7 linked regions of the Mus musculus genome follow. The protein of the gene in region 4 interacts with the protein of the main gene of each other region in a pairwise test. Links are inferred from orthologs where the notes say so. Each region holds a gene or a part of one and is shown on either strand. Other genes may lie near its edges. The genes, in order: Dtx3, Mkrn3, Birc7, Ube2k, Rnf125, Dtx3l and Rnf114.

Region 1 (4,127 bases), on a different chromosome or scaffold from region 4:
GGGAGTGGAGGGGGCAGGGGAGGAGGAGGAGGGGGTAGCCCTCTTGCCCCTGGGGGCAGGAGTGGGGCTGCTCGGAGGGGAGGAGGGCCTGGGCGGTGCAGCTCGGGGTGTTCCCCTCCACCCCCCAAAGCCAGGCAGCCCATGAGCTCCCCCTGCCTCTGGGCTTTCTTTAGCTCTTTCTCTGCCTCTTTCAGTAGCCCCTTGAGAGCCTTCCTGGCCAGGTAGAGCCCATTGGGAGGGGCTGGGGGAGGACCCTGTGGGGACAGCTGGAGCACGTAGATGTCAGAAGTCTCGCCATCTATGAGGATGGACACCCGATGCTCCTCCCGAAGCCGGGCCAGCCGGGCTGGGGTCTCCTTGCTCAGGAAGTCCCACACAGGCTTGGAGACAGTCACTTTGTTCTTGCAGGAGCCTCCACAGGCTGCCATTCTGGACAGGACGAACGACACTGCCCCCAGGGTGAAAGGGACTCAGAGTGGGGAGTCCCCATTTGACAGATAAATGTGCCTCTTACTTCAGGCTCCTTCTGAACCCCCTGTGTTACCTCTGTTTCCCTCAAAGCCAACCCCCAACACTGCCCACAAACCGGTTGGTTTTCTATCTCCACTTCTGTCCCATAGCCCAGCACCCTCTGGGCACAGGTTTCCATATTTCATCGTTATCTAAGCCAAGCACCAGCCCTGCTTGCTTCTTTCATTTCTCCCCTGAGCACAACAACCTGCCCCTTCTCCCCAAGATGGAAAAAAAAAAAGGTTCCTCCAAGGGAAGGAGGCTCCCCACCCCTACCCCACCCCATCCCACCTCCGTTTGCTTTGCTCACTTTGATCCGGAGGAGCTTAGAATTGGCATGCAGGCTCACTCTCCTTTCCCCCTGATACCTGGAGATCCTGTGGCCTGGTGGAATGGGAAAGAAAAGAAAGTAAGGGGGCTGGAGAGATAGCTCGGTGGTTAAGAGCACTGACTACACTTCTAGAGGTCCTGAGTTCAAATCCCAGCAACTACATGGTGGCTCACAACCATCTGTAATGGGATCTGATGCCCTCTTCTGGTGTGTCTGAAGACAACAAAAGTGTACTTATAATAAATAAATAAATAAATAGATAGATAGATAGATAGATAGATAAATAAATCTTTAAAAAAAAAAAAAGCTGGGCAGTGGTGGCGCTTGCCTTTAATCCCAGCATTGGGAGGCAGAGGCAGGCGGATTTCTGAGTTTGAGGCCAGCCTGGTCTACCAAGTGAGTTCCAGGACAGCCAGGGCTACACAGAGAAACCCTGTCTCAAAAAAAAAAAAAAAAAAGAAAAGAAAAGAAAAGAAAAAAAACAGGAGGAGGAGGAGGAGGAGGAGGAGGAGGAGGAAGGAAAACTATTCCCCAACCCCAAAGCCCCAACTCAGGAGCCCTTGAAATGGCCAGGAACCTGGGGTAGGGGTACTGGAAATGGGGATTTCTTGGAATACAGGAGGAACCCGAAAGCTGAGGTTCTCCTGGGGCACGGGTACCTGAAAAGACCACAGAGACGAAGGTAGCAGAAGTCCCTCCACCTCCACCTTCAGCTGGCCAGAGCTGGAGACGAGGAAGGTAAAGAGTTATGATAGCATTTCCTCAGCCAGCCCAGACAGAAAACGCTCTTCTAGTTCCTCTCCTCCCCTGCAGAATCCTCTCCAAGTTGCTCAAGGAACTTCATCAGGCTAATTCCTCTTTTCCCCCCAGTGCAGAGGGAGATCCTAGATGCAGATAAAGACAGGAAGGAGAAAAAAAAAAAGGGCCTCACAGGATGAAGGTCGTACACGCCACCTCCCTCAGATTACACTGACAGAAATATCTCCTAAACTCCTCGCTTTACGTTCTCGAATAGTTCAAGTCCCTGTTGTTGACAGAGACCTTTCCTTGAGAGCCGGAAGTCTGTTAGGGATGCCAGCAAAGTGTTAGCAGTCCCGCAATAACAAAGTTCTCATTGTCACCTTTAAACCCAGTGCCCGCAGAGCTGCTGTCAGCTGCAAATCAAGCAGGAGCTTGGCTAGAGGGACCCGAGGTTTTCCCCTGAGCCCTGTCACAGCCCAGCTCCAGGGCCTTTCCCACAACACAAAGTGCAGCTCAATTAGGAAGAGGGGCCATTCATGTGACCTCAATTCCTTGTGATCCAAAAAGAAGCCTCTGTCCGTTTGTGCCTCCATCATAGGGTCCTTGAGATGAAAACCTAAGCATCTCAACCCGCATGGTCTGTGCACGGTGAAATGCCCCCTCCCCACCAGAGAGAACCCAGGATCTAGGTGTCCTAGCTCCAAGTCCTGCTGGCACGGCACAGGGAGGCGGGGCCACAGTTTAGTCTGGGTCTAGCATTCCTCTGGGGCAAACCAGGCCGGACACCAGACCAGCCTCTTCCTCCAGACAGCGGCCGCTGGCAGGGACGGCGAGAAAGGGCAAGGGTCCCCTGGGGAGGTGTCCACTGAGGCACCCCCCACCCTTCTCCCCGAGACTGCCCCCGGATCCATCCAACCCGAAACCAACTCCCGCATCCCTACTCGAGGAAGCCCCGGAGTCCCGCCGCTTGGTGAGGGTGTGTGTCCACCCGACTGCGGCCCTCAGAACCCCCAAATGGAGGCCAGGGCTGAAGGTGCGGGAAAGATGATGGGCCCGGGCCCCGAGGGCGCCCTCTTCTCCCGCGGCGCGCGCGTGGGGGTCCAATGGCGGAGGAGGGGGCGGAGGGAAGCGGGGGGCTTGTGAGGGTGCGGACCCGGCCTGGGGGGGCACGCGGTGGGTGTGGGGGCGCCGGGCTCACCTACCTCTCGTCAGCGCCGCCATTGCCGGTCACATGACTGAGGCTGTTGCTGGGATGACGGTCCGGGCCTTAGCAACAAGGGGCGGGGGGGTGGGGGGGAGACCCTGAGAAGGTGGAAGGGGATGCCGGGGTGCAGACCGAGAGAAAGGAAGGGAGAGCACCCCTCCCCTTGGTGGGTGATAATCACCGTTTCCTTTGACCCCCTCCTACCCGGGAGCCCCTGCCTCTGCCCCAAAACAAAAATGGAGGCGCAGTTCCAGTCTTTGGAGGGAGGGGTGGCGTCATGTAGCCGAGGGTAGGAGGTTAAATCCCTTAGAAACGCCACTCTCTTGGCTTCCCCCTCCCGGAGGAGACCTCTCCCCACTTCTTTCCCAGCCAACTGCGTTGCACTCTTAGGAACTGGTAGGGGTGGGAGCAGTGTCGGTGGGTATATAGATTGAAGGGGAGGGAAATTTTTTTGAAGTCTTACGCTGGAATATGTTGGATGGGAAGTTTAAAAAAAAAAAAGGAAAACATTGGTACTACAAAATAAACCCTGTGACTAAACTACTTCAATCCCCTCCCTCAACTCTTGCCTCCTTCCAGACTGTTACCTCCGGTGACCCCCCCCACCCCCAACCCTCGCAGCCTGTTACCAGAAGTGGGCTGGTGACTAGTTTTCCACAAGTAAGGACACTGGTCTGTGCAGAACGTGAGGTGGATAGATCCTTTAAAAATGGCTCAGGGTGGTGTTAGTGTCAAGTACATGGCTCAAATAGAGTTAAAAATTCCCAAAGAAAAAAAGCTCTGCTCCGCTCTGCTTCCCGTCAGAGCTGTCTCCGCCTCCTCCAGCTCACTTCCCTGGGGCTACATCAAGCCAGGTTTTTCCACCAGCCAAGAGACCTCCTCAGCCAAGAGAAGAGGTACTGACTCTCCCAGACTAGCACCAACCACGTCATCCACCCCTCTCCATCCCCTCCCCCCTGAACTGGAGGACTGGTCACTCCTTCACTTTCCCAGGACCCTGCTGGACTCTTCCTGGCCTCTAAGCAGATAGCTTTCCCAGGAAGTCTGCGTGAACAGAGAATTCCTTCCCACAGAGCTGGTACCCCAAGAGGCCCACTAAAGTTAACAGATGGAGGAGCAAGAGCATAATGAAGACAGACACACCATCCCACTCCCACTCTGGCCGCCACAAGGTTGGCGACTATTTTCCCGCTCCCATGTCCACCCCACAACTCCAAGTCCACAGTCATCTTAGAACACCCCCCCCCCACACACACACACACATACTCAGGAGCCCAACACCTTGAAGACCAATATTTTTCAGTTGGACTCTGTAACTCTTAAACATAGGATGGGTTACTC
Region 2 (4,221 bases), on a different chromosome or scaffold from region 4:
ATCTGCTAGTTCTTACTTAGGTCTTTTATAAATTAGTGGCACTAAAAACATCTCATTGTTTTGAGGTTTCTTATTACTTAATGTCAGTTCTTTTGAAGTATGTGATGCTGGAGATCTGAGCCTTTTATTATTTTCCTTCATAAGTTACACAAGAAAAATTTTGCCTATTCTATTGTTCTTATTTCATGTTTACTTTGACTTCATCCCCCCTTATCTATATTGTTTGATTATGTTCCTCTTATCTTGTTTTATCGTTGTTGGATTTATTTAGTTGAGACTTATATTTTGAGTTGGATGATTATATCATATGCTTTCAGAGTTTTTTAACCTTAGGTTGTGAGACTCCTTCCAATAAAATTATTTTTCTGAGCATAATTTCATTTTTTTAAATAGTAAATAAAATATTTGAAGCATTGCTAATTCAAGTTAGTGGGTGAGGAAAGGAAGAAAGCATGATTATTACTAAAAATAAAAACCCACGTAAAACTATACTATAAAATTTAGTATGCCACTGTAGTAAGTACATGTAGCAGTGTAGAACTACATATAAAATTATTAGCCCAATAGTATATATCTGCAAAATGAAAAGAAAAAGAAAAAGAACTGGCTCAGTGCAGAAATGGAAATGAGACACTTTGGGGTGCAAAGAGGAGCTGGTATTATGAAAAGCTCTGTAGAGCAGAATGGGATGAAAAGGAAGGCAGGGAACAAAGGGTCTCCGAATCCAACCAACAGAGAAAAGTTAAAGCCTGGGTCATTCTCAGACCTTGCCTTATTAAGTCTTCATCAGGGTTGGGCAAAGTCCAGGCTTCTACATTGTTGGGGGTCCGGGAGAATGTAACAAAGGCAGGAAAGTGAAAGGCTCTGAGTAGCCTCGGGGCAGGGGATTCCCTCCTAATTAAAGTGCACGCAAATTAACCCTTCAAGGGAAAAAAAGACCCAAAGAATCCTGTCAGATCTACAAGCATTGAAGGAGAAACGCTTTGGCAGGGACACTGTCCGATCTTAAAAATTAGTAGCCTATAAACAAACGACAGAAGAAACTGAAAAATAATTTTTAATGTGAGTGAAATGTTTTATGTTCAAGCAGCAGACGGTAAAGGCAATGTGTGTAGCGTTTTCTTAACACACACACACAAATAAACTGCAATGTATACAACTGAAACCTGGAGAGTTTAAAACATCAACCTTGAGGGGAAACACTGTGGAAACGGGGATTGGGGGGTTCAGAGTCGCACTTAGAAAGCCGGCAGAAGCCCATCCCAGTGTCTCAAGCAGAAACAGGCACGCGAAAAACATGGCGGAAGCAACTTCCGGTGAAGCCCTAGGAATGGTGTTACAACCGGAAGTGTCCGCCTGCCTGTAAACAGGTAGGAACTAAAGTTTCCAGGGAACGGGGAGCAGGTGGGAAGACAAAAATCGATGCACTTCGCTCCGAGAAGAAGCTGGTCGAGCCATCTCCAGCTCCGCAATTCAAGCACAAAAAAGATATAATATTCGGGTTTTTGGACAGTGTTAGAGGCACGCTGTAAGATGGAAGAGTCTACAGCTCCCATTGAGGCCCACGCGGCCGCCGGCGCCGAGGCAGGTGCTGAAGGGGGGGAGGGTGTGTCTGTTCCCCCCCCTCCTCAGTTTGAGGCTGCTGGAGCTTCTGCGGGAGTCAGCTCGGCCCCTCTGCAGCAGGCATCGGGTCTGGCACCGCTCCTGGTGACTCCAGGCCCAGCGATCCGGCGCGCGGCGAGTTTGAGGCCAGCGCCAGCCGAAGGGGGCGGGGCCCGGTCTGGTCCGGAGCGCAACAGTGGCAGCTGGACGAAGCAAATCCTCTGCAGGTATTATCTGCATGGGCAGTGCAAGGAGGGCGATAACTGTCGCTACTCTCACGACCTTTCTGGGCGGCGGAGATCTAGGGGGGGGCAAGATGCTCAGCCTCGGGCCTCTGCAGACAGAGGACCCAAGATGGCCACTCGCTGGGAGCCCCCGACTCAGGAAGTGGCGGAAGCCCCCCCTGCTGCATCCTCAAGCTCCTTGCCTCTGATTGGCTCGGCTGCTGAAAGGGGCTTCACTGAAGCTGAGATTGACAATGCAGGCATTCGCTCAGCTGCTGAAAGGGGCTTCTCTGAAGCCGAGATTGACAATGCAAGCCTTGCAGCAGGTGCTGCAGCGGGAGCGGGTGCAGAAGGCTGGGAGGGGGCAATTGAATTTGTTCCTGGACAGCCTTACCGAGGTCGCATGGTCCCCCCGCATGGTCCCGAGGCTCCTCTGCAGAGCCCGGCAATTGAGAGAGAGCATATGGCTATGGGCATGGGGATGCCGATGCCAGTGCCAATGCCAATGCCAGTGCCAATGCCAGTGCCAATGCCGCTGCCGCTTTGCCGCTATGCTGCCCGGGGACAATGCCTCCGTGGGGACAGGTGTGCATACCCCCATGGAGAAATATGCGACATGTGCGGGCAGCAGGCCTTGCACCCTTGGGATGCAGCTCAGCAGGAAGCTCATAGAAGGGCCTGCGTTGAAGCACACGAGAGAGATATGGAACTCTCTTTTGCTGTGCAGCGCAGCATGGACAAAGTGTGTGGCATCTGCATGGAGGTGGTCTATGAGAAAGCTGACCCCAGCGACCGCCGCTTTGGCATTCTTTTCAGCTGCAACCACACCTACTGTCTTAGGTGTATCCGCAGGTGGAGAAGTGCCACACAGTTTGAGAACAGGATCAGTAAGTCCTGCCCACAGTGCAGGGTCTCCTCTGGCTTTGTCATTCCTAGTGAGTTTTGGGTGGAGGAGGAAGAGGAGAAGGAGAAACTTGTTCAGCAGTATAAGGAGGGGATGAGCCAGAAAGCGTGCAGGTATTTTGCTGGAGGCCTAGGTCACTGCCCATTTGGAGAATTCTGTTTTTACAAGCATGAATACCCCGAGGGCTGGAGAGATCAGCCTCCAAGACCAGATGGTGGTGGATCATCAAGCGCATACTGGCATCAAGTTTTGGAGCCTGTGCAGTTGCGAGAGGGAAACGTGCTGTTTAAAAGCCGTAAAAAAGAGCATTCTGTGCTTCGCCTGGCCAATCAGTTGCTTAAGAAGTTGCTTTGCCTGAGAGGCAGTTCTTCCTTCTCTGATGACCGTTGGCTCTTGCTTCAGTACCAGCTGGAAGAATATTTCAGTTTGAATCTGTAGTATCACGCTGTGGCATGTGGTCTGGTCTGCTAAAGCTCTGTTGTCTGCTGTTGCTTATTCCCCTTTATTGACTGAAAAACCCTATCGCTTTCAAAGGCTACTGAGGCAATCTTTATGCAGTATTGCTGTTTTCTTCTCTATTTCCTATTTCTTCTTGCTAGGATTGTGATGTTTCTCTGTGTTACAAAATAACAAGAAATCTTATAAGTATTGTTTGGTGGAATTAATATTTCTGTCAACTGATGACTTGTGATGTCTTTTTTCCAACAGGATTCAATCACTTCTAGTCTAGTGTTTACAGTTTCTCATTGTGAAGTCCCTTAAGAGTAAATGTGACAAGGTGACAAAAGTCTTTAACTGAATTATGAGCTTTTTGCTATATAGCCTTAAAAAAAATGGACCCTTACAGGACCTTGCAGCTGCTGTCTGTGTTTGTTTACATGTTTGTTTCTTCCCTTCTCTTTCAAGTGCACTTGTTAACTTGTGGTTACTTTGTGGTTCTGTTTTACTTGACCAAAATGAGGTGCATATGTTTACATGTTTTTATCCTGTTTGGCTTGATGTGAAATTATTTATATTTGGAAATATATATTTAAGAATGATATATATGCGTATATGTATACAAAGATGTATTTGAAAAAAACTGGAAATAAATATACACCATAATATATATGTTTGAAGTATTGAAATAAATGCAGAACTGAAAGCCCAGTGTTAAAGTCCAAGTGTGTGGGCTGTATGTGAATTGTGTGGATAATCTGCCCCTGCACTGATGTCAGTGATTAGCATCTAATAAAAATGACTGCTAAGTGTGGATCTGACTCTTTTTTTAATGGATTTACAAAACATGACTTCGAAAATTCCTACAATACCATTAACAGCTTCCTGGTGTTATAATAATGAAACAGTGCCTCACATGAAGTTACCATCTCATTTTTCTTGACAGAGACAATTCCTGAACTTAAACATAGAGTTGTTTGTTTTTAATATCTTAAAAATCTGGTTATTGTATAATTTATAAGCAAAGAACTTTTGAAAAAAGGTTTTCAAAAT
Region 3 (4,197 bases), on a different chromosome or scaffold from region 4:
AAAAACCATAAGGAGAAGAAGGAGGAGGAGGAGAAAGGAGAAAGGAGAAAGGAGAAAGGAGAAAGGAGAAAGGAGAAAGGAGAAGGAGAAGAGAAGAGAGAAGGAGAAGCAGCAGCTGCTGTTGTGGCTCGTACCCAGCAGAACCATAGCCTAGCACACACACAACTACATGCCCAGGTTTGGCTGGTGTCTTTAGCAGCCTTCTCATTAGGAGCAAGGGGATTCACTACCTTGAACACAACATGTGGGCACAGACCCCACCCTCTCTGCTGACTGGCAGGTGGAGACACTCAACAGTCTGACCTACGTGCAGGCTGCAAACACCAACTAAACAGCAAAGGCTATTAGGCTCTCTCACCTGAGGGAGTGGCAGAGACTGCATCTTCTGGTTCTTCTCGCTGATCCTGTTAGAGAGCCATTGGTGCCTTAAGTAAGCAAAGCAGAGACTGCCAGCCCACCTGGGTCCTGAGGACAGATGGACTTACCCAGGATCCCAGCAAAGGGGTGTAGGTCTGGATTCTTTCCACAAAGTCCCTTCCTTTTGACCGTAGCAGGAACTGACACCTGGAGAAGAGAGCTCAGAAGACAGGACTGGACTCTTAGAGCCCCACTGTCACATTCGAGCCCTGCAAGCCTTTGGGATTTGGCATGCCTTCTGTGCCCATGGAACCCATTACTTCCTGTGACAGGTAGTCAGGGCTGTATCCCCATGGGCACCTGCTAGTAAGGCTAGTCTGGAGTTGGGCTCCGAATACCTAGGTGTGCACCTGGAAAGGATAGCAGCAACAGGGGAGTGCCTACCCTAGCAGCCCTAGAGAGATCCTGATGTCTCAGAAACATGGGAGGTGGGAAGGCTATACAGAGTTCTTTGGGACCCTTCTCATTAGTCAGAACTGCAGTAGCCCACAGGGCCCTTACCTGGGAAACCATCGGGCATGCTCTGTCCAGGGGTCATCCCCACGCTCCCAGCTCTGTAGACCCCCATAGCAGAAGAAACATCTCACCTTGTCCTGCTGGCCTAGGTATGGCAGAGACACATAGCTGGTAGCCCCACCTAGTTGGCAACCCCAGGGTGTCCCTCCATGACCATCAAAGCTTAGACAGGCAGGACTAGAATCTGCCAGCAGGTTAACAAGAAGGGAGCAAGGCACATGGACACCTCTCTTGCCTCAAAGGCAAATAAAGACAATGGCCCTGGGGCATGTGTCAGGAGGGCTTCAGAATATTCCAGAAAGGTCGAGCTAGCATTTGTGTTGTTCTCAGAGCATGTGGGTAGGGTTGAGCCAAAGGCTTGGAGCATCTGTAGCCTGGGAGTGTCAGGGCCTCCAAGAAGGACTTCTAGTTACAGGATAAGGAGGTGACCCCTTCCATACCAGTTTATAGACAGACTTGGTTTTAGTGGCTCAGGCCTCAATCATCTCTGCTCTGTGCCCTTCCCCCCCCAGCCATAGGAATATGTGTCCTTCATGACCTTGAGCAGAAGTTCCAAACAGGATTGCTTACAGGCATATCCCACAGCAGGTACCCACGGTCCACAAAATACCCATGACATCTGTTGGCCTCAAAGAGACTCCTTTTCAAGGGGGCTCTAACTGTTCCAGACATTGACCCTTCATAACCAGTGTCAGATTGTCCTAAATCAGTATGGACTCTTGCCTGGCCGTTGCTAGGAGAATGACTGTTTCCTCCCCTGCTAGGCCCACTGGTGACAATTTCTCTGGCTATGCTCGGCTGGGCTCACTGATTCCTTTTCCCTCAGCCAGGAAGAGTCAGAGCCAGAACCTGAGCCCTACTGGGAATGAGAGCAGACCAAGCTCAAGGAGTAGTCTACATTTGTAACTAGAACAGGTATTCAAAGGATTTGTCTGGAGTTGGTCCCTGCACTAACCAGGTACTTAGGAAGCCTGAGAGATTACCTACAAGATGGGCACTGGATGCTTAAGCTGGCCCCTGCCCCAGTAGAATAGATTCCGGTTTTGTCGCTTTGGGCTAAGGGATGAAAGGGATTAATCAGCTCTATCTACCAAACCTGAAAGGCATTGATGACTGGGCATCCCTGAAGAAATCCTCAGAGCCGTGTAAGCCAGGTGAAACCACCAAGCCAGCAGACCCCTCAAGGGCCCTCAGAACAAGGCCAGCATAAGCCCAGAATTTCATAGTGGCTTTGAGTGGGTCTAGCCCTGACCAGGCAAGGATGACAGGAGTACCTTTTATTAGTTCCTCCCTCAGGGCAAGAATGGGCAAAACCGTTTGCCTGGAAGAGTGCTAAGTAGCATTCAGACCACAGTAAAAAAGACCCCAACATTTACCTGTGTGGAAGAACCCAGCAGCAGCCAATGGCTCAGGCTGAATCCCTGCAGTAGATGGCCAGTCGTAGAAGGAGGCTAGCCGGAGATCCTCTGAGTCCATCTCAGGGAAGGCAGGCTCCCCAAGGAAGGCAGCCCCAGAGGATTCTTCCTCTTCTGACAGAGGCCGAAGCTGGCCTAAGATCTGCCCATCTAGGCAGTCCTGGCCCAGGACATGGTTACACGGACAGTGGGGTTTATCCTGTTCCTGTGTGCGGCCACTGCCATCTTCCCTGTGGCTTAGTTCTGGGCCACGGACCGAGTCCCTGGCCCTACTCTCAGGCCCCATGGAAAAGACAGCAGCTCTGAATAAGTCTGCAGGTGAGAACATCACCAGCCCAGGAATGTGCCTGGTGTTGTACCGTTCCAGCTCCTGCCTCTAGTCCTTCCCAGAGGCTGTGGTGTTCCTGCTTCTAACTGCAAGCTGCTAGATGCTCAGAGGCAGTGGCGGTGTCCAGGAATGAGCCACTTTCTGAGAGAGGCCAGGGCAGCCACATGCTCTTTGCAGCGTGTCATGGGGCCTGCTGGCAGGCACATAACAAAGGCAGTACGCCACCAGGCAAAAAGCATCTCTCAATAGGGGGAGGGACCAAGCTTGGGACCCCTCCAATGGCATCCCCTAAGCCTCAGGAAACAGGTCATGAACATGGACAAAATAGAGGAGAGAGATTCCAGACACTTAGGGTCTAGTTCTGGGTGGAGATAGACCCAGACAGGGGCCTGCAGGGTAGGAAGCTAGGCTGTCCAGGACACTATGCAACCCCACCAATCCTTCCTTACCAAGCCTGTGCTGACTGATGTTCAGGGATGACCTCATCACCCGCTCATCTTGTCCCCAGCACTGAGGAGAGGTCCCTGCTTGGCTCAGCCCTGAGTCAGGGTCAGTCCACCCATCTGGTCTCAGGTTGCTCTTTATCTGTCTGGACAGTCTAGAGGCAAATCAAGGGTAGGGTGTGCCCTGGCCTTTGTCTGGAGGAGCTCAAGGTTTGGATGGTATTTGTTCCAGGCCAGACATTTCCATTTGCACTGTCACATGGAATGTTGCCTCCCTAAATGAGCTCTGCCCCAGAACCTGGTCTTCACTAACCAGCCCCAGGTGAGGGATTCGACTGACACACACACAAAAAAACAGGGAACAGAGAGGAGGATCATCACCCCAGAGAAGCCACAGCTATAGGTTGGTAAAACAAGAGTCCTTGGGACCCCTGGAAGAGGCAGAGAAGATCAAGGGGCCAGCTCTGCTGCAGCTCGCACTGTAATTCCCAGGCTTCTGCTCAAACCTTTACCCTTGAGTCGCTCTTCACTGATTGTGAAGCTTTTAATATTGGGAGCTTATATATATATATATATATAATATTTTTATTAATTCTTTGAAAATTTCAGACCTCTGAGTTTGAGTCCAGCCTCCCCAGAACTAGTTCCAGAACACCCAGGACATCCTGTCTCAAAAAAAAAAAAAAAAAAAAAAAAGCAATCCACTCCAACTTCATGTCCTTTTATTTATTTTTTTTTTAATGTATAACCCACTGAGTCTGGTTTGTGGTGTCCATATACTTATGGGTGTGGGGATGTCCACAGGAGCATGGGCAACCTACCAAGGGCCACAACCTTAAAGAAAACTGACCCTCCCTTTTCCAGAAGCTGCCAACTGTCAATAGTCCCTCAGTTAGAGGTTGAGTCTTGGGAGGCATGGTGAGGGGTTGGAGCTTGTGAGACATTGTAAGATAGGCATGGCTGTTCATGCATGCAGTCCTAGCACTCATGGGGATAAAGCAGGAAGATTTTTGTGAGTTCAAGACCAACCTGAGCTAGATAGTAAGTTCTGTGCTAGCCTGTGCTAGAGAGAGCCCCT
Region 4 (3,500 bases):
GACTTTCAATATACATACAACCTTACTTTAATTTAGTCTGATTCCATTACATTTCTGTAATCTATGCATTGGTCCTCAAAATTTTTAATTGTATCTCCTATGTAACAACTGCCTAAGTTCACTTGAACATTAATTAGGATGGTTAAAGGAAGTATTTGAGTTTGTAAAACTTATAATTGTCAAGCTTTGGAAGATAGAATGAGATGCGACAGTTGCTAAGGACAGGAAGTTTATGTACAAGAGAAGGTAAAGTTTCAATTCTCACATTATCAGAAACATCATAAAGAAAGCTAGATTTAGAATACACCCCTGTTCCTATGTGCATCTGGTATATACAGTGAGACAGCACAGCTTTCATGGGTCACCATGGGGAGCAGGAGGAGTAAGTCAAGTGTCTGACAAAGGAAACTGTCAGGCTGAGCACTAGGGAACAGGTACTGCACCCTTCAAGTTTCCAAAGACTTTATCATTTTAAAAATTAATGTCAAATTCACTGAAAAACTAAGCAGTGTCCTTTTATTAAATCTAGAAATACTGCAACATCAAGTATTTATTCCTTTTGTGAGAGAAATAAAATTGGCAGCCCCTTTTTACATTACTACTTACAAAGTGAAGAACTCGGACAAAACATTCCAAACCTATGAGCTAAAAGTGGAACAAGGGACACTGTTCCTCAGCACGTTTCCCACAAGACACAAAATAAATTGACCATGAGAATCTCCGCTCTGGATGGTGACAGGGACTAAAAAGCTCTGATTAGGTCACCACCTTTAAATCAGGATAAATCTCATAATTCAAGAATGTCCTAATGCTTAAAAGGGTGGTCTTTTCGGCTACCCGTTCTAAGAAGTCAAGTACAAGCATGCAAGTAAATTCACAGGCACAGAGGATCTGTGTTCAGACTTAAGGGAGCTGTGATTCTACACCACAATGTGAAGGGCCGACACTCGAGTGTTATCCTAGTTAGTCAACAGAACCCTGAAGCAAACTCTCGAGTCTGTTACACTGCTAAACACTAAAGTAGCATGTTTTCCCATGGTTTTAGCTTAGCTCAAAGAATTTTTACACTATTAAGAAAAAAAATTAAAAGTATTTCCCCTTTTTAAATTTACACAGACGTTTAATTAGCTTTATTTACAGAGCAGGGAATTTTTTTTTTTGCAGTCTCCAATGGTGCCTAGGTAACATCATTAGGCAAGAATGCCAGTTTAAAAGAACTTTATGCAGAATCCTAAAAATAACAGGTGTTGATGCTCCTCAAGAGGCGAGAGCGATGCTGGCGCAGCTCCTGTGCCTCAGTTACTCAGAAGCAGTTCTGTTGCAGTCTCTACATCCCATGATTTTGAAGACAAGGCCACTATTACTGCGTTCTGTAAAGAGGAGGACAAGAGCAATCACATCCCACGGAAACCAAATCCTCCTCGCCAGAGTCACACGTTCTTCCCTCTACCAATGACTGCACAGTCACCACTGATTGCAGCGTCTATACAGGATTAACCAAAACTACATTTTCAAAATGGCTAGTCCCCTTCTCCCAAGGACTGGGAGCCCGGGTTTAAAATGGGGAGTGAAATCAATTCCTCTGGATGGTGACAGGGACAGAAAGCTCTGATTAGGTCACCACCTTTAAATGGGGATAAATCTCGTAACTCGAGAGTGTCCTAATGCTTAGCAGGGTGGTCTTTTCGGTACTTACCCTATCAAAACCCATAGCACAGAGGTTTTCTATTTTTTTGGTGTATTCTGGACTAGAAACTGGTGCTCCAGCGTACACGTGTGCCCAAAGTCGAGCTGTCTGCTTGAACATTTCAGGATTCTGTTTGTACTATATGGAGGGAAAAGCAGATAACAAGACAGTACAGTGAGATTTACCATAGCTGCTCAACTATGACTTGCTTGTTCCAAAGAAAAGACATTTATATTTAGAATGTAACTCATTTGGGCTGGCCTGCAGAGATCACTAGTAGTACGTATTAGCTTAGTAACAAGCTCAAGTTCAGAAATTCAATTACCAGCACTCCATGTGCCAAAACATAAAAGATGATTTTTTTTCCATTGCAGAAATGTCATTCAAGAAATGAAGCTTTGTGAAAATAAAAAACAGAGTTAATACTCTTTAAACAAACATCTAATATTAAATAAACATTATAAAAATGTTCTAATAACTGTACAGAAAATTACACAACAAAATCAGTAGCATGTAATGTTACATGAACATTAGCTGATAAATTTAACACTGACTGATATATACAATCAATTGTGCTACTAGGCAGACCTCAAGCTGAGGCAGCAGATGCCCTTAGAGCTATGCAGCACTGTATAGTCATCAAAGTAAACCCAACACTCAAAACAATCTAACTTACATTACTTTTGAAGACAACTTAAAAACCTACAAAAGAGCCCTACTAGATAAAGATTTGCCATATGAAACCGGAAAAGGGTGAGGTAAATTCATTGTAAAAATACTTGTAAGACAGAGTATAAAGTAATGATGTCAATTCATTTCAATATTTATCAAAGTGCTACTTTTAAACTTATGTATGCTTGTGTATATGCACACATGTGGAAGTGCTCAGGAAAGGCAAGCAGAGGACAGTGGGAAGCTGCCCAGTGAGGGTGCTAGGACCTAATCTCTGTTCTCAGAATGATAACAAAGAACTACCCCTCACCTGAGCCACCCAGCTCTCTAGCCCCAGAGCAGGGACTGGGTAATTCATTGTTCCTCTCCCTTCGACATCGCTTTCTCTCAAAAAAGTTCTCAATATGTAGCCCTGGCTAGCCTAGAACCAGCTATCTTTATCTTGTTCATTGTTCAGGCTTGGCTCAAATGTAAAGCTCCACTAACATCTACCTATGGAGTACCAAACTAAAAGGCTACTCCATATTACTATGATTACCTAATATATTTCAAGCAATACTTTGTGAACGAACAACACAAACATTATTTTAGGTGTTAAAAATCAGCTATGGAAGCCAAGAGATGGCTTGGCAACCAGAGGACAGCTGCTACTCCAGGACCAGGGTTCAATTGCCAGCATCCACATGATCCTGTACCTCCAGGATCTGACACCCTCACAGAGACATACATCGAAGCAATGTACATAAAATAAATAATTTTTTTTCAAAAGTCACCCTTTATTTTATGTCTCAATTTATCTCAATTTGTGGGAAAATCAAAGATAAACTTCAAGAAAGACTTCTGCTACCAAATATTAATAGCACATATGTGCAAACTATTAAAAGCTGTAGTTCTAAGCAATGGTGGGCTGTAGAGATGGCTCAGTGGTTAGGAGCACTGACTGCTTTTCTAGAGGTGCTGAGTTCAATTCTCAGCAACCACATGGTGGCTCACAACCATCTGCAATGTGATCTGACGCCCTCTTCTCCAGTGTCTGAAGTCAACTACAGTGTACTCATATACTTTAAATAAATAAATAAATATTATGAAAAAGAAAGAACATTTTAAAAAATTATTTTTATTTGATGTACATTCATGTTTT
Region 5 (3,500 bases), on a different chromosome or scaffold from region 4:
GTGGTAGGAAAATAGATAAATGAAGTAAGACTTCCAAGTTTCAAAAAGGATATTTAAAAGGTTGGTGGGGCTACAGACTACGTTCATAGCTAGCACAGGGAACTTAATGACTCTGAAAAATGAGGGCTGGGACTCTGGTTTGCTGGTACAACACTCATTCAGTGTGCGGGTTCAATCTCTAGTGCTGCATACACACAAATACTAAAGGCGTTGATGTGGTGGTAGGTGTATGCAATCCCGACTCTTCCAAAGCAGAGGCAGGAGACAGCAAGTTTATGTCCACCCTGGGCTACAGAATGAGAAACTGTCCCCAAAGCACTGGAGGAGCTAGAGAGATGGAGAGGGTGGAAAGAAAGGTTTCCCTGGAAACCTTTTCTTGTAACCATGAATATGGCTGTTGTTACTCACCAGAGTTCCACACTCAGCACAGTTCTGGTATTCTGACTTCATCCTCTTGGCTATGTCAGTTGCGGGCACTCCCTCTGAAGGAAGGTATGCCCGGCAGTATGGACATGTCCATTTATTATTGTTCTTTATACTGGTCGCAATGCAAGATCGGCAGAACCTACTCAAAAGAAACAGAGAATGCACGCATCAGGAGATAGGGCTCAGCACTTGAGTTCATACTGTTCTTGTTTGTTTGTTTGTTTGTTTGTTTTTCGAGACAGGGTTTCTCTGTATAGCCCTGGCTGTCCTGGAACTCAATTAGTAAACCAGGCTGGCCTCGAACTCAGAAATCTGCCTACCTCTGCCTCCCGAGTGCTGGGATTAAAGGTGTGCGCCACCACACCAGGCTAAAATCTTTTATGAATGAGACTAAGCATGCATGGGAGGGTGTCTAGAGAGATGGCTCAGTGGTCAAGAGCACTGATTGTTCTTACACAGGACACAGGTTCAATTCCCAGCACCTACATGGTAGCTCATAGCCACCTCTAACTCCATTTCCCAGGAATCTGATGCCTTCTTAGGACTTCCACAGGGACTGGGCAAGCAGATGGCAAACAGATCTCATACAATAAAAATAAGTATATTTATCTAGCTGGGCAGTGGTGGCCTTTAATCTGAGCACACGGGAGGGAGAGGCCGGTGGATATCTGTAAGTTCGAGGGCAGCCTGGTCTACAAAGTGAGGTCCAGGACAGCCAGGGCTACAAAGAGAAACCCTGTTTCAAAAAACCAAGAAAAAAAAAAAGGGAAAGAAAGGAAGAAGGAAGGAAGGAAATAAATCTGAAAAGAGAATCTCAGTTTTCCCACTAACATCTCTCCCGCCTGTAATGTAATCTACCTGGGATTACAAGAACACATCACTAAACCTGGCTTAAAGTATTTTCTTATTTTGTTTGTTTGCTTTTTAGAAAGGGTTTCATTGTGTACTCTTGGTTTGCCTAAAACACACTATATAGATGAGGATGGCTTCAATCTCACAGAATCTACCTGAATTTGCCTCCCAAATGCTAGAATCAAAAGTATGAGCCATCAAGTTCTGGTTTGAGTATGCATGGCCCACAGGAAGTAGCACCATTAGGAGGTGTGGCCTTGTTGGAGGAAGTGCGTCACTGTGGGGTGGGCTTTGAAGCTCCAATTAATGAAGAAGGGTCAGTCTTCTCATGTTTGCCTTTGGAACAAGGTGTAGAACTCTCAGCTTCTCCAGTGCCAAGTCTGCCTGGACCCTGCCATGCTTCTCGCCATAAAGACAATGGACTGAACTTCAGAACCAATAAGCCAGCCCTAATTAAATGCTAGCCTTTATAAGAATTGCCTTGGTCATGGTGTCTCTTTACAGCAATAGAAACCCTAAGACATGTAAAACCTTGAAAGTATATTCGTTTAAGAGTACTTTTTTACAAATGGCTCAAACGTTCAACTAAAAGAAAAAAATTAACATTCCAAATACAACATCAATGACTCCAACCTGAATTCTCTGCTTACATGTCTTATGTAGGGGTAGATGACGTCTCACTCTATAAGAAGCTGGACATGAGACTGCAGAAGTATGCAGTCTAGTAAAACCTGGTTTTGTTTGTTTGTTTTTCGAGACAGGGTTTCTCTGCGTATCCCTGGCTGTCCTGGAACTCACTCTGTAGACCAGGCTGGCCTCGAACTCAGAAATCTGCCTGCTTCTGCCTCCCAAGTGCTGGGATTAAAGGCATGTGCCACCATGCCCGGCTAACCAGGCAAGACCTGGGATTTTAAGCTGGGCATGGTGGCAGGACTATATAATCTTAGCCCTTGGGAGGTGGGAGAACAGAAATCAAGGTAATCCTCAGGTAAGTAGTTATAGTGAGTAGAGTTTAGCCTTAAAAAACAAACAAACACCAATGGGGAATAAGAAGTAGAAGAATGAGATTTAAAAAAAAAAGAGTAGATTCTTTGTCAAATTAGAGGGGAAAAATTAAATCAGCATAGTAATGAACCAGTCTAATCCCAGTACTTGGGATTTCAGTCCACCTGGGCTACATATGAAAGTTTTAGGATAGCCTGGGCTACAATACAACCCCTTTCCAAGAGTCAAACAGAAAAAACAATGGTAAGCATATAAGGGAACCTAGAGAAGAACACTCCGAATGGAAACAAAACCAAAAAAATACAACGTTCTAGGAACTGCTTGCTCTTGGCTGACATTCAGAAAGGCAGCCAGGAATCTTAGGGCATAGTCGGAGCTGTGCTGAGAGAGACGAGCAGGCAGAGGATCAGCCTTAACCCAAGAAAATCACACAAGCTCAGGGCCAGCCTGGCTCCTGATCCAGAGTACCACGAAAAAAGACATTATTTTTAGTTGAATGTTTGAACCACTTGCAATATGTACTCTTCAAGAATATACACTCTCAGCCCTTGAGATCTCTCTCAAACATAAACCAGGACCAAGGCTAAGTACCTTTAAGTTTATAATACATCTATTCAATAAACTTTGGTGCCTTAAGCTGGGTGTGGGAGCACAAAATTGTAACCCTAACACTTAGGAAGTTTAAGGAGGATCAGAAGCCCAAAATGAGCCTGAACAAGTTCAAGACTAGCTAGAGGCATATGAGATCTTGTCTCTAAAATCTAACATTAGGTTAGGAGTCTATTTCAGTTGTCCTGCACTGCATTCAGCCCTGGGCCTCAGCCCCACCACTGGATAAACTAGACAAGGTGGTACATACCAGTAATCTCAGAAGTCCAGAGATTGAAGGAGAAGGAGTTCTGGGTCAGCTTAGCTATGTTAGTGAGTTTGCTATATGAGACCCTGGCTCAAAAGGCCCTACACCAGCAAATGATTCCTGATGGTGTCAGAGACAAGATGGGCAAAATAAAATCCATGCCCCTTCTGAAAGTCAAAGGGCTACTGGCTGCATGTTCCCAAAGTTGATTCCAGAAGCAGATGGGGCTGACAGGGCTAGCCATAGGGACAGAAATTGACCACAAAGGACAGGAGGCGATTTGTCAGTGTATAGGAACTAACTGTCCTAGATCTGGGTTGTGGTGTTGTTACGGCTGTGAACAATTGCAGCAATTCATCAG
Region 6 (3,999 bases), on a different chromosome or scaffold from region 4:
CAGGCTGGCTGAGATCTTGCTAATCCACCTGTACCAACTAAGCTTCATTCCTCCCTGTACAGTCCGGGGTGCACAAGGCTGCCCGAAAACACCGAGGGGAAGGGAGGAGCAGATGCCAGGGCAGCATCAGCTCCTCTGTCAACACTCACCTTTTGGACAACTGAGTCAACAGAGTTAGAAACGAGCCCGTCCTGGGGATGTATGTCATCACAAAGTGCTTCATCCAGAGACCCCGTCAAGGACGGAGGTCTGGAGCTTGGTGTCTCCACTGGCTGTGTCAAGGATGGGAGTCTGGGTCTCAGGTCCTCTACTGGCTTTTTAGTAGTTTCCAGGACAATGGTCACAGGTTTGTTATGGACCAACATCTCGTGTTCGCTCTTTTTCAACACTTTCTCCTTATCTTCAGGGGAGACATTAAACATACACATTCACACAGAAATAAGAGAGAATTTACATAGCTGATCCTCAGTATCCCTGTAGGTTGATTCTAGAAACGTCTGAGCATGCTACCTCCAGAGATGTCCCTAATAAGCTTAGGACTTTCACATAAGCTACCCATGTTCTCACATATGCTTTTTAGTTGTTCATTTTTTTGTTTTGTTTTATTTTTTGTTTTTGAGACCTTAGGTAGTCCTGGCTGTCCTGAAACTCCTGGTGTAGACCAGGGTGGCCTTGAACTCACAGAGATCTGCCTGCCCCTGCCTCCAGAGTGCTACAATTAAAGGCATGTGCCACTACTATAAATGCATTGGTTCGCCTTCCATAGACTTTATTTGAATAAACCATAGGGTATGGGACTGTTGTGTAAATTTTCTCAAGACTGAAACATTCCACCCTGCAAAGAAGTTCCTTAAGCAAGAAGGTAAACAACTCAAAATAGCTTCAGGAAATCCCAGAAACTGACCAGACTCATAGGCCCCTCCCTGAATGAATAAACAATAGAGACTGTTGGGAAGAGTCCTCCTGAGACTCCCAGAACAGAGCTGCTGTGAGGACTCATTAAAGGTCTGCATAGGAGACTCTTAGACAAAACAAGCTGTGAAGAAAACTTAAACCACCAGAGAAGCTGCCTGCAGGAAGTGAACTCTAAGCTCCACTTAGGAGGAAGTTTAGACCAACTGAGCCACCTGGAAAGAACACTCCCTAACCTATTGAGCTGCCTGTAGGTGTGCAGTGAGCTCCAGGTTCCCAGCTTTGTGAGCTGTCACCCATGCTAGGTGGGCTTTGGTGATGCAGTTGCCTTTGAGTCGTTTCCCATATTCCTGTAAGTAAATCCAATAACCAATACCAATGCAATAAGTAATGCATTGGTTCACCAAGTTGGCCCTTGGTGGTATCTGTTGTAGGCTCCTGGTCAAATGCATACAGAGGACCTGAACAGTTATTTCTGGCATTCTGGAATAGCAGGCTGGTGATAGGAGAAGCTAATCAGAACTCTAAAGAAGGGAGCTTAAGTTTTAGCATAGGAATATAATTTGGTTATTAGAAATCACATTTCTAGTCTGGGCATGCTGGTACACACTCACAATCTAGCACTTAAATGGTAGTGGTAGGGGTAGGGGTATTATGAGTTCAAGGCCAACCAATGGCACATGGCAAGATCCTGTCTCAAAGGGGTGGTGGTGGGGAAACCTATGTTTTGTAATGGTTTTGAATCTCTCATTTCAATGACATTGAATAATGGTTATTGTATAGTTAAATGGTGAAACCCCCGGCCCCCCAAAAGAAACAAGATCAAAAAGTTTAGAATGTATATTCATTTGCTGACTCTCAGAAAAGAATGCATGAAAATGCCCCCATTGAGGACATTAGTGTGGCACCACCTGCCTTTAATCCCAGTAGAGGAAGGAGGATCTCTGCGAGTTTGAGGTCAGCCTATGGAGCTAGTTCCAGGACAGACAAGGATACAAGGAATAACCCTGTCTCTAAAATCAACCAAACACACACACACACACACACACACACACACACACACACACACACACACCAAAAACCAAAACCAAAACCAAACCAAACCCCACCAAACTATCTTCAGATAATTTTTCTTTGACTTTCCTCTTTAAAGTCATATATTACTTTTGTAGTCCTTAAAAATAAGTCAACGGAATCTTTATTTACAACATTAAAATGGCTTGGAGTCGAGATCGGTGGTGGAGCACTTGCCTAGCGTGCACAAGGTTCTGGATTTCCTCCTCAATCCCAACCCCCACACTTTGTTTCTTCTCTCAACTGGGTCTGCTGGGAAATTCTCAGATGGAGTCGAACCGCGACCTCATCAGCGGCTGGACTCATACGAGGCTCTCTCCGCCACTGTGGGATGGAGGGAGTCTGTGGACCGCACTCTCCCACAGACAGAGAGCCACACTCGCGTGGGCTCTCGTCGGAAGCATGCAGGGATCGGTTTGGAAACCTGCTGGTTCTACCCTTGCACCCGAGCCTTGCCCTGTTTCCCCTGCCCCGGCTCACCTGCTTTTTTTAGGAACTTCACCTCGTAGGTGTCCGGGGCGCTGGGGCCCACGGGCTGGACAGAGCACTCCCCACCTCCCGAGGCCCGGCTCTGGAAGTATATCTCGAGCTTCCTGTGCGCCTTGGGGATGGACTCCCGCAGCCGTACGAGTAGCGGGGACGGCGGGTCGGGACTGGAAGCCATGGCTATCCGCGTCTGGCTCGTTTGGGGCTCAGGGGCGCTGCACAGACAGGGAAGAGCAAAGGCGAGCCCTGCCCTAAAGACCCGAGAGGCAAAGTTTCAGTTTCGATTCCCCAGAAGGTCCCTCCTTGTTCTCCGCAGAGCCGCCGCCTGTCTTGCTCTGCCATCTCTCAGAGCCATCACCCGGTGAGTAGTTCGCACGCTCGGCGGTGGGCGCTCAGAGGAAGTTTCCCTACGGTGGCAGGTCGCCCTTCTATTCTTGCAGGATCGGAAGTTTGGCGGGAACCCGGATCCCAGGTTCAGGCCTCTCAAGGGTGGAGCGGAATAGAGGGGTAAAGAGTTTCACCTGTTTGTACTTTTTGAAATGATTGTTGTAACTAGTATTTACTGAGATGCGGTTCTGATTTCAAGTGGAGAGAGTTTACCTGCTTGGTGACCTGTACTTTTCCTGTTAGCTGGGCACCTTAGGGATTTTCTGCTCGAGGGCCTTAAGTTAGCGAATAGCACAGATCGGCTTGCTTCCCTGAGTCCCTAGAGAGGGAGGTAACGAGGAACTGAGCACAGAAGCAGTCAGTACCTGTGAACAAAGCAAAAGCCAAAGAGCAGGTTTCAAGAGGTATCTTAAGGGGTTGGGGGAGGGGAGGAAAGTATTCTAGGCTGGGACAGCAGTAGCCTAAAGTCCAGAGGGCTGGGTTCCAGGCCAGGGAGAGGAAGAGGAAGGGTCTGTAAGATCTATAGCGTCAACAGAAATAAAGTGGGGATTATGTGTGTTAATTCTAAAGGTTAACACCATAGTTTAGCTCATAGGTGATGGTTAATCTTGGTTGTCATTTTGACTGCGTCTGGAATCAGCTAAAACCCCAGCTAGCTGGGTAGTGCTTGTGAGCGATTTTCTTGATTGGGTCTTTTGAGACTGGAAGACCCGCCCTAAATCTGGGTCACGCGTCCTGGTAGCAGCCTATATAAAAGGACAAGGAAAAAGGAAGTTTTGCTTTTGGCCTGCTTGCCTCAAGACAGACAAGTGCACCCCAAAGCAACCTCTCAGCTGCAGCCTCCAAGGAACCTTAGAGGTCTTTCTTGTGTGAAAGCAATACTGCCCTCTGCAGGCTCCCCGGATCCTGTCCGGCCAGTTTGGGGTTAGTATTCGAGTGACTCCTGGATGGGCATGGCCAGCTGTGCTCTCGTGTTGTACAGTGTTTTTCTACTGCAAAGACATTACAGATCATCCCAGAGACTATTGTAAGTGTTAGTCATGAGTCTAACATTTCATAATTTTAGTTTTTAGGCTACTAGGTTAAAATCATGAGAAAGTGCGATTTCCCAGAGCTTCAGATTTTTATCCAGACATCCTT
Region 7 (4,189 bases), on a different chromosome or scaffold from region 4:
ATTTACTTAATAAAGGAGTACCTTGCCGGGTGGAGGTGGCACATGCCTTTAATCCCAGCACTCGGGAGGCAGAGGCAGGTGGATTTCTGAGTTCAAGGCCAACCTGGTCTATAGTGTGAGTTCCAGGACAGCCAGGAACCCAGAGAAACCCTGTCTCGAATCCCCCAACACACACACACACACACACACAAAGTGCCTGTTTTCAGCCACACCAGAAGAGGGCATCGAATCCCATTGCAGACGGTTGTGAGCCACCATGTAGTTGCTGGGAATTGAACTCAGGACCTCTGTGAGAGCAGCCAGTGCTCCTGACTGCCGAGCCATCACTCCAGCCCCTGAAGTGCACCTTTTTAGAAGCACCTATTTTGTTTGTTGCTTTGGTTTTTGAGAAAGGGTCTCTTTTGCAATCCAGGCTGACCTCAAAGCTCAAAACATTTTGACTTCTACAGGTGAGTATACCACCCCGTATCCCAGGCTAGCCTCAAACTCACTATATTGCCCGAGATAGTTCTGAACTTCTGATCCTCCTGCCTTTATTTCTCAAGTGCTGGGGATTCTGAGTGTGGACTACCAAATATGACATATACACTGCTAGGGATGGAACCCAGGAGCCCGTGTGCCATGCTAGAGGAGACCTCTTCCTTGGTGGCCACACCCCAGCCCTGGACGCAGTGCTTTCCAGATAATCAACTCCTTGTTGATCTTGGACTCAATCACTGCCAGTACCCAACACCTGCTGGAACTCTTGGTCTTCAAGGTACTGGCTGATCGCGCACAGTCCAGTGACTTCCTGTTATACTATACCTCCTTCAGTCCAAGCCTCTGTCCTATTTTATTTTTCCAGGCCACGTACAAGCCATAGGAAAAGGGCAATAAATATGTCTAGAAAACTGGAAAGGTTCACGGAGGTGGTATCGACCTAACAAGCCACGGGAGTTTGTGAGATACACTTGTACCCCGTTAGCTGTGCAGGCAGGAAGTCCTGCCTCCTCCTTTCCGGTTAGGAAAGACGCTGAGAAATCAGATCAAATCATCTGGCCACACCTGGTGGTGCAGACTATACAGCCAATTACTTGGTAGGCTGAGGCAGGAGGATGGAAAGTTCAAAGCTCAACTGGGCAAGTTGGTGAGCTAGCTAAGGTCAACTGTAATAACAATACACATTCACGGTCTGAGTTCCTGTGGGTGAGAGGTGTGGGCTCAGTGTGGCTGCGTCCTCTAGGCTCTCCCCGGGACGCCATCTACACACCTGGTGGGCGGCAGCTTTCAAAAGCTCCAGGGGGCGAGGGGGCGTTGTGGACTCCGCCCATCTCAGCCCCTAGCGCGTGCGCAAACGACGGCGGCCCCGCCCCCAGCCCCCCTCGGCGGCTCTTTCTCTCTCAGCGCGACGCTCCTCAGCGGCAAGATGGCGGCGGCGCAGCCGGAGTCCCGAGATGGAGCCGCGCAGTCGGCGAAGCCGGCGTCCGAGACGGACCCCCTCAGCCGCTTTACGTGTCCCGTGTGCCTGGAAGTATTCGAGAAGCCGGTGCAGGTGCCCTGCGGACACGTGTGAGTGGCGGGCGCCTGCCGGGTAGGGGTCGCGGTGCGCAGGCGGCGGGCGGCCGGCGGCGTCTGACGAGGGAGCACAGCGGGCCCCCTCGAGCCTCGGCGTCGCGACTCACCGGGCCGCCGCCGGCGCCTCCGAAGTGCGCGGGAGGCCGCCGGGCTAAGTATGGACAGTGGGCCCCGGGCTAGGCTGGAACAAGAGGGAAGTGCCGGGACGCTCGGCCGTACCCGCGGACCGGGTGTGGGGTGCTCGCTCGCGGAGGCCGCCTCCCTCGGCGTGAGTGAAGCCCGGTGTCGCGGGCCAGGCTGCCGCAGCCGCTTCAGGAGTTGAGCGAGGGCGGCCTGGGCTTTCCCTGGCTCCTGTGACCGCTTAGCGGGATTTGAATCCCATTCTTGCACATTTCAAACACACCGTAGCCGAAGAGCCTGAGGATGCTCGACCACGTCCCTCCGCGGCCCCGCCCACTGCCGCTCACCCAGGAATCGGGCTTCCTGACCCCCCCCAACTCCAGCACCCTTTTTTGGGCGCACAGGCATTCCCGCCGCTGTCCTGTGAGTGCCAGCCTTTTTCCGGGTGAATCAAAGTGCAAGTGTCAAGGGTCGCTCATTCGGGCCAGCGTCGCCTGCCAGACCGTCCCCAGGAGCGAGGCGGGGCCTTCCCAGCACTGTGGGAGGGATGCCTGCAGGGACACTGGGCTCCTGCCAGCTTGGGTTCAGGTACAGGTAGCCGTTACCGATCGCCCGCCGCCACTACTTCAGGCCTCCCGTCCTGATGACCTCCCTCACTTCTCTCTCGACTCTGCTAGCTTTCTCATTACACGGAGCAACATGTAGGGACCCAAGAAGAGAGTACCATGTCCTCTCTGTCCGATGATAAAAGCCGGTGTTCGGCACCGTGAGCCGAACCCAGACTCCCTCCCAGTCAGTTAACTGGAGTGTCTGCATGCCCTCTGTTTGCTGTTTTGGGATAGAGTTAAGAAGGCAATTTGGAACCGGGCGTGGTGTTGCAGGCCTTTAATCCCAGCACTCGGTCGGGAGGCAGAGGCAGGAGGATTTCTGAGTTCGAGGCCAGCCTGATCTACAAAGTGAGTTCCAGGACAGCCAGGGCTATACAGAGAAAGCCTGTCTCGAAAAACAAACAAACAAAAACCAAAAGAAGGCAATTTGGCCCTCGGGTTTACAGCTCAGGAGGTTGTTTGGTAAGTAGTGGCCAGTGAGATAGCTCAGAAGCTGAAGGCTCTTGTCACCAAACCTGATGACTTCAGTTCGCTCCTGAGGAGCCACATGGTAAAAGAATTGACTCCCACAAACTGTCCCCAGATTTCCAGCTGTCCTCAACGGCACACACATTCATATTTTTTTAAAGGAAATACTAATGACTGTTCAAACTATGGTGTATTCGGTAGGAGAGCACGTGAGGGCTGTTAACATTTGTGAAGAAACATGACTTGATTGAAAAGCACCAGGCTTTGAGGCTTCCTTGACCTTTTCCTACATCATAGGGCAAGAAGCAGTACCAGCATAGCAAACATAACCAGCCTCCGTACTCAGCAGATTGTTTGAAGTCAGACACACCTTGGTGAGGGTAGCTGACTTCTCTGAGCCTCCTCCAAGTGCTTTGGGCTCTGCCAACTTGATTTTTAATGTTTGCCTTTGAAGCTGGAGAGTCCTACAGCTGTGGTTGGAGCATTTGATTTTATGAAATTCAGGTCAAGCCCTGTGGCTACACCCTTTCAGGTCTGGAGGAGCGCAGATAACTTGATGCTAAAGAGCACTGACAGAAAGGCTGAACTAGTTGACTCCCATTTCTAGGAAGTAGAAACTGAAAGTCAGCTCCAGACACAGGAAGCTAGATGCAACCTCCTTGTAAGGGTATAACTCAGGCACGCAGGCTGTGAGCATCTGATAGACTGTTAAATCAACTGCTTTAATCTGTATGTTGGCTTGGATTCCTCAGTTGTCTTGAGTTGCTCTTGGGATGATGGGCTACTATAAAGGGCCTGCCCACCCTGCCTTGCCCTTTCTCTGTGTGATCTGCCACATCACTGCCCCAAAGGCCTTCCTTTCTATACTTGGCACACTCCTTCCTCTGTGGCCTTCCATTCAGTGTCATCTCAGAGGAACTCCCTATGCTCCACCTGCCAGGCTGTTTGTTATCCTTCATCACCGTATGAAACCACTGTTTTCTTCAAATACAGCATCACTCTGGGTGGTATACCCTTAATCCCAACACTTAGGAGGCAGAGGAAGGCAGATCTCTAAGTTAAGACCAGCCTGGTCTTTAAGAGTGAGTTCTAGGAGAGCCAGAACCAACAAACAGGACAAAAAAAAAAAAAAAGAGTTATAAGGATAGGGCATTTCCTAGTAAATAACTAGTCACCTCCCAGCCAGGACTAGAATTTTTGCCTAATAGAAACGATCAAGATTTCTTAAAAGATAGTGGGGGGGGGGTCAGTTCTGATACACACACACACACACAGAGGCACACACATATCTCCTGGTCTTTTCCAGCAGATTTTGTTAATGTAACCATAAGTCAAAGTAGTTTGGTAGTTTAGTGTCCTGTGCCTTAGTAGCCTTCTTGTGCTGTGAGCCAGCAGGTGCCCCCTCTGCCTCTAGATCATGGTGTTTGAGTTTCTTGAAT

What was found.
Region 1: the proteins of Ube2k (region 4) and Dtx3 interact in binary tests that used the Homo sapiens proteins (3 or more experiments, as listed by UniProt). The link is inferred for Mus musculus from reciprocal best matches to the Homo sapiens genes UBE2K and DTX3.
Region 2: the proteins of Ube2k (region 4) and Mkrn3 interact in binary tests that used the Homo sapiens proteins (3 or more experiments, as listed by UniProt). The link is inferred for Mus musculus from reciprocal best matches to the Homo sapiens genes UBE2K and MKRN3.
Region 3: the proteins of Ube2k (region 4) and Birc7 interact in binary tests that used the Homo sapiens proteins (3 or more experiments, as listed by UniProt). The link is inferred for Mus musculus from reciprocal best matches to the Homo sapiens genes UBE2K and BIRC7.
Region 5: the proteins of Ube2k (region 4) and Rnf125 interact in a two-hybrid assay, tested with the Homo sapiens proteins (2 studies listed by BioGRID and IntAct). The link is inferred for Mus musculus from reciprocal best matches to the Homo sapiens genes UBE2K and RNF125.
Region 6: the proteins of Ube2k (region 4) and Dtx3l interact in binary tests that used the Homo sapiens proteins (3 or more experiments, as listed by UniProt). The link is inferred for Mus musculus from reciprocal best matches to the Homo sapiens genes UBE2K and DTX3L.
Region 7: the proteins of Ube2k (region 4) and Rnf114 interact in binary tests that used the Homo sapiens proteins (3 or more experiments, as listed by UniProt). The link is inferred for Mus musculus from reciprocal best matches to the Homo sapiens genes UBE2K and RNF114.

What each region holds. Positions count from the first base shown.
Region 1 is NC_000076.6:127,192,910-127,197,036, forward strand, and holds the start of Dtx3 (probable E3 ubiquitin-protein ligase DTX3), read right to left. Parts: upstream 2,801-4,127; 5' UTR 2,785-2,800; intron 2,659-2,784; exon of another isoform or gene 1,963-2,658; intron 1,899-1,962; exon of another isoform or gene 1,773-1,898; intron 1,726-1,772; 5' UTR 1,501-1,725; intron 895-1,500; 5' UTR 850-894; coding exon of another isoform or gene 822-849; coding exon 821-821; intron 449-820; coding exon 1-448. UniProt on the Homo sapiens protein: Regulator of Notch signaling, a signaling pathway involved in cell-cell communications that regulates a broad spectrum of cell-fate determinations.
Region 2 is NC_000073.6:62,417,354-62,421,574, reverse strand, and holds Mkrn3 (probable E3 ubiquitin-protein ligase makorin-3), read left to right. Parts: upstream 1-1,421; 5' UTR 1,422-1,533; coding exon 1,534-3,168; 3' UTR 3,169-3,982; downstream 3,983-4,221. UniProt on the Homo sapiens protein: E3 ubiquitin ligase catalyzing the covalent attachment of ubiquitin moieties onto substrate proteins.
Region 3 is NC_000068.7:180,927,626-180,931,822, reverse strand, and holds the start of Birc7 (baculoviral IAP repeat-containing protein 7 precursor), read right to left. Parts: upstream 2,801-4,197; 5' UTR 2,677-2,800; coding exon 2,310-2,676; intron 1,019-2,309; coding exon 919-1,018; intron 565-918; coding exon 486-564; intron 405-485; coding exon 359-404; intron 1-358.
Region 4 is NC_000071.6:65,592,745-65,596,244, reverse strand, and holds part of Ube2k (ubiquitin-conjugating enzyme E2 K), read right to left. Parts: intron 1,826-3,500; coding exon 1,697-1,825; intron 1,371-1,696; coding exon 1,296-1,370; 3' UTR 1-1,295. UniProt on the Homo sapiens protein: Accepts ubiquitin from the E1 complex and catalyzes its covalent attachment to other proteins. In vitro, in the presence or in the absence of BRCA1-BARD1 E3 ubiquitin-protein ligase complex, catalyzes the synthesis of 'Lys-48'-linked polyubiquitin chains.
Region 5 is NC_000084.6:20,971,364-20,974,863, reverse strand, and holds part of Rnf125 (E3 ubiquitin-protein ligase RNF125), read right to left. Parts: intron 566-3,500; coding exon 409-565; intron 1-408. UniProt on the Homo sapiens protein: E3 ubiquitin-protein ligase that mediates ubiquitination and subsequent proteasomal degradation of target proteins, such as RIGI, MAVS/IPS1, IFIH1/MDA5, JAK1 and p53/TP53.
Region 6 is NC_000082.6:35,936,228-35,940,226, forward strand, and holds the start of Dtx3l (E3 ubiquitin-protein ligase DTX3L), read right to left. Parts: upstream 2,801-3,999; 5' UTR 2,651-2,800; coding exon 2,467-2,650; exon of another isoform or gene 2,243-2,466; intron 401-2,242; coding exon 150-400; intron 1-149.
Region 7 is NC_000068.7:167,502,054-167,506,242, forward strand, and holds the start of Rnf114 (E3 ubiquitin-protein ligase RNF114), read left to right. Parts: upstream 1-1,389; 5' UTR 1,390-1,405; coding exon 1,406-1,548; intron 1,549-4,189. UniProt on the Homo sapiens protein: E3 ubiquitin-protein ligase that promotes the ubiquitination of various substrates. In turn, participates in the regulation of many biological processes including cell cycle, apoptosis, osteoclastogenesis as well as innate or adaptive immunity.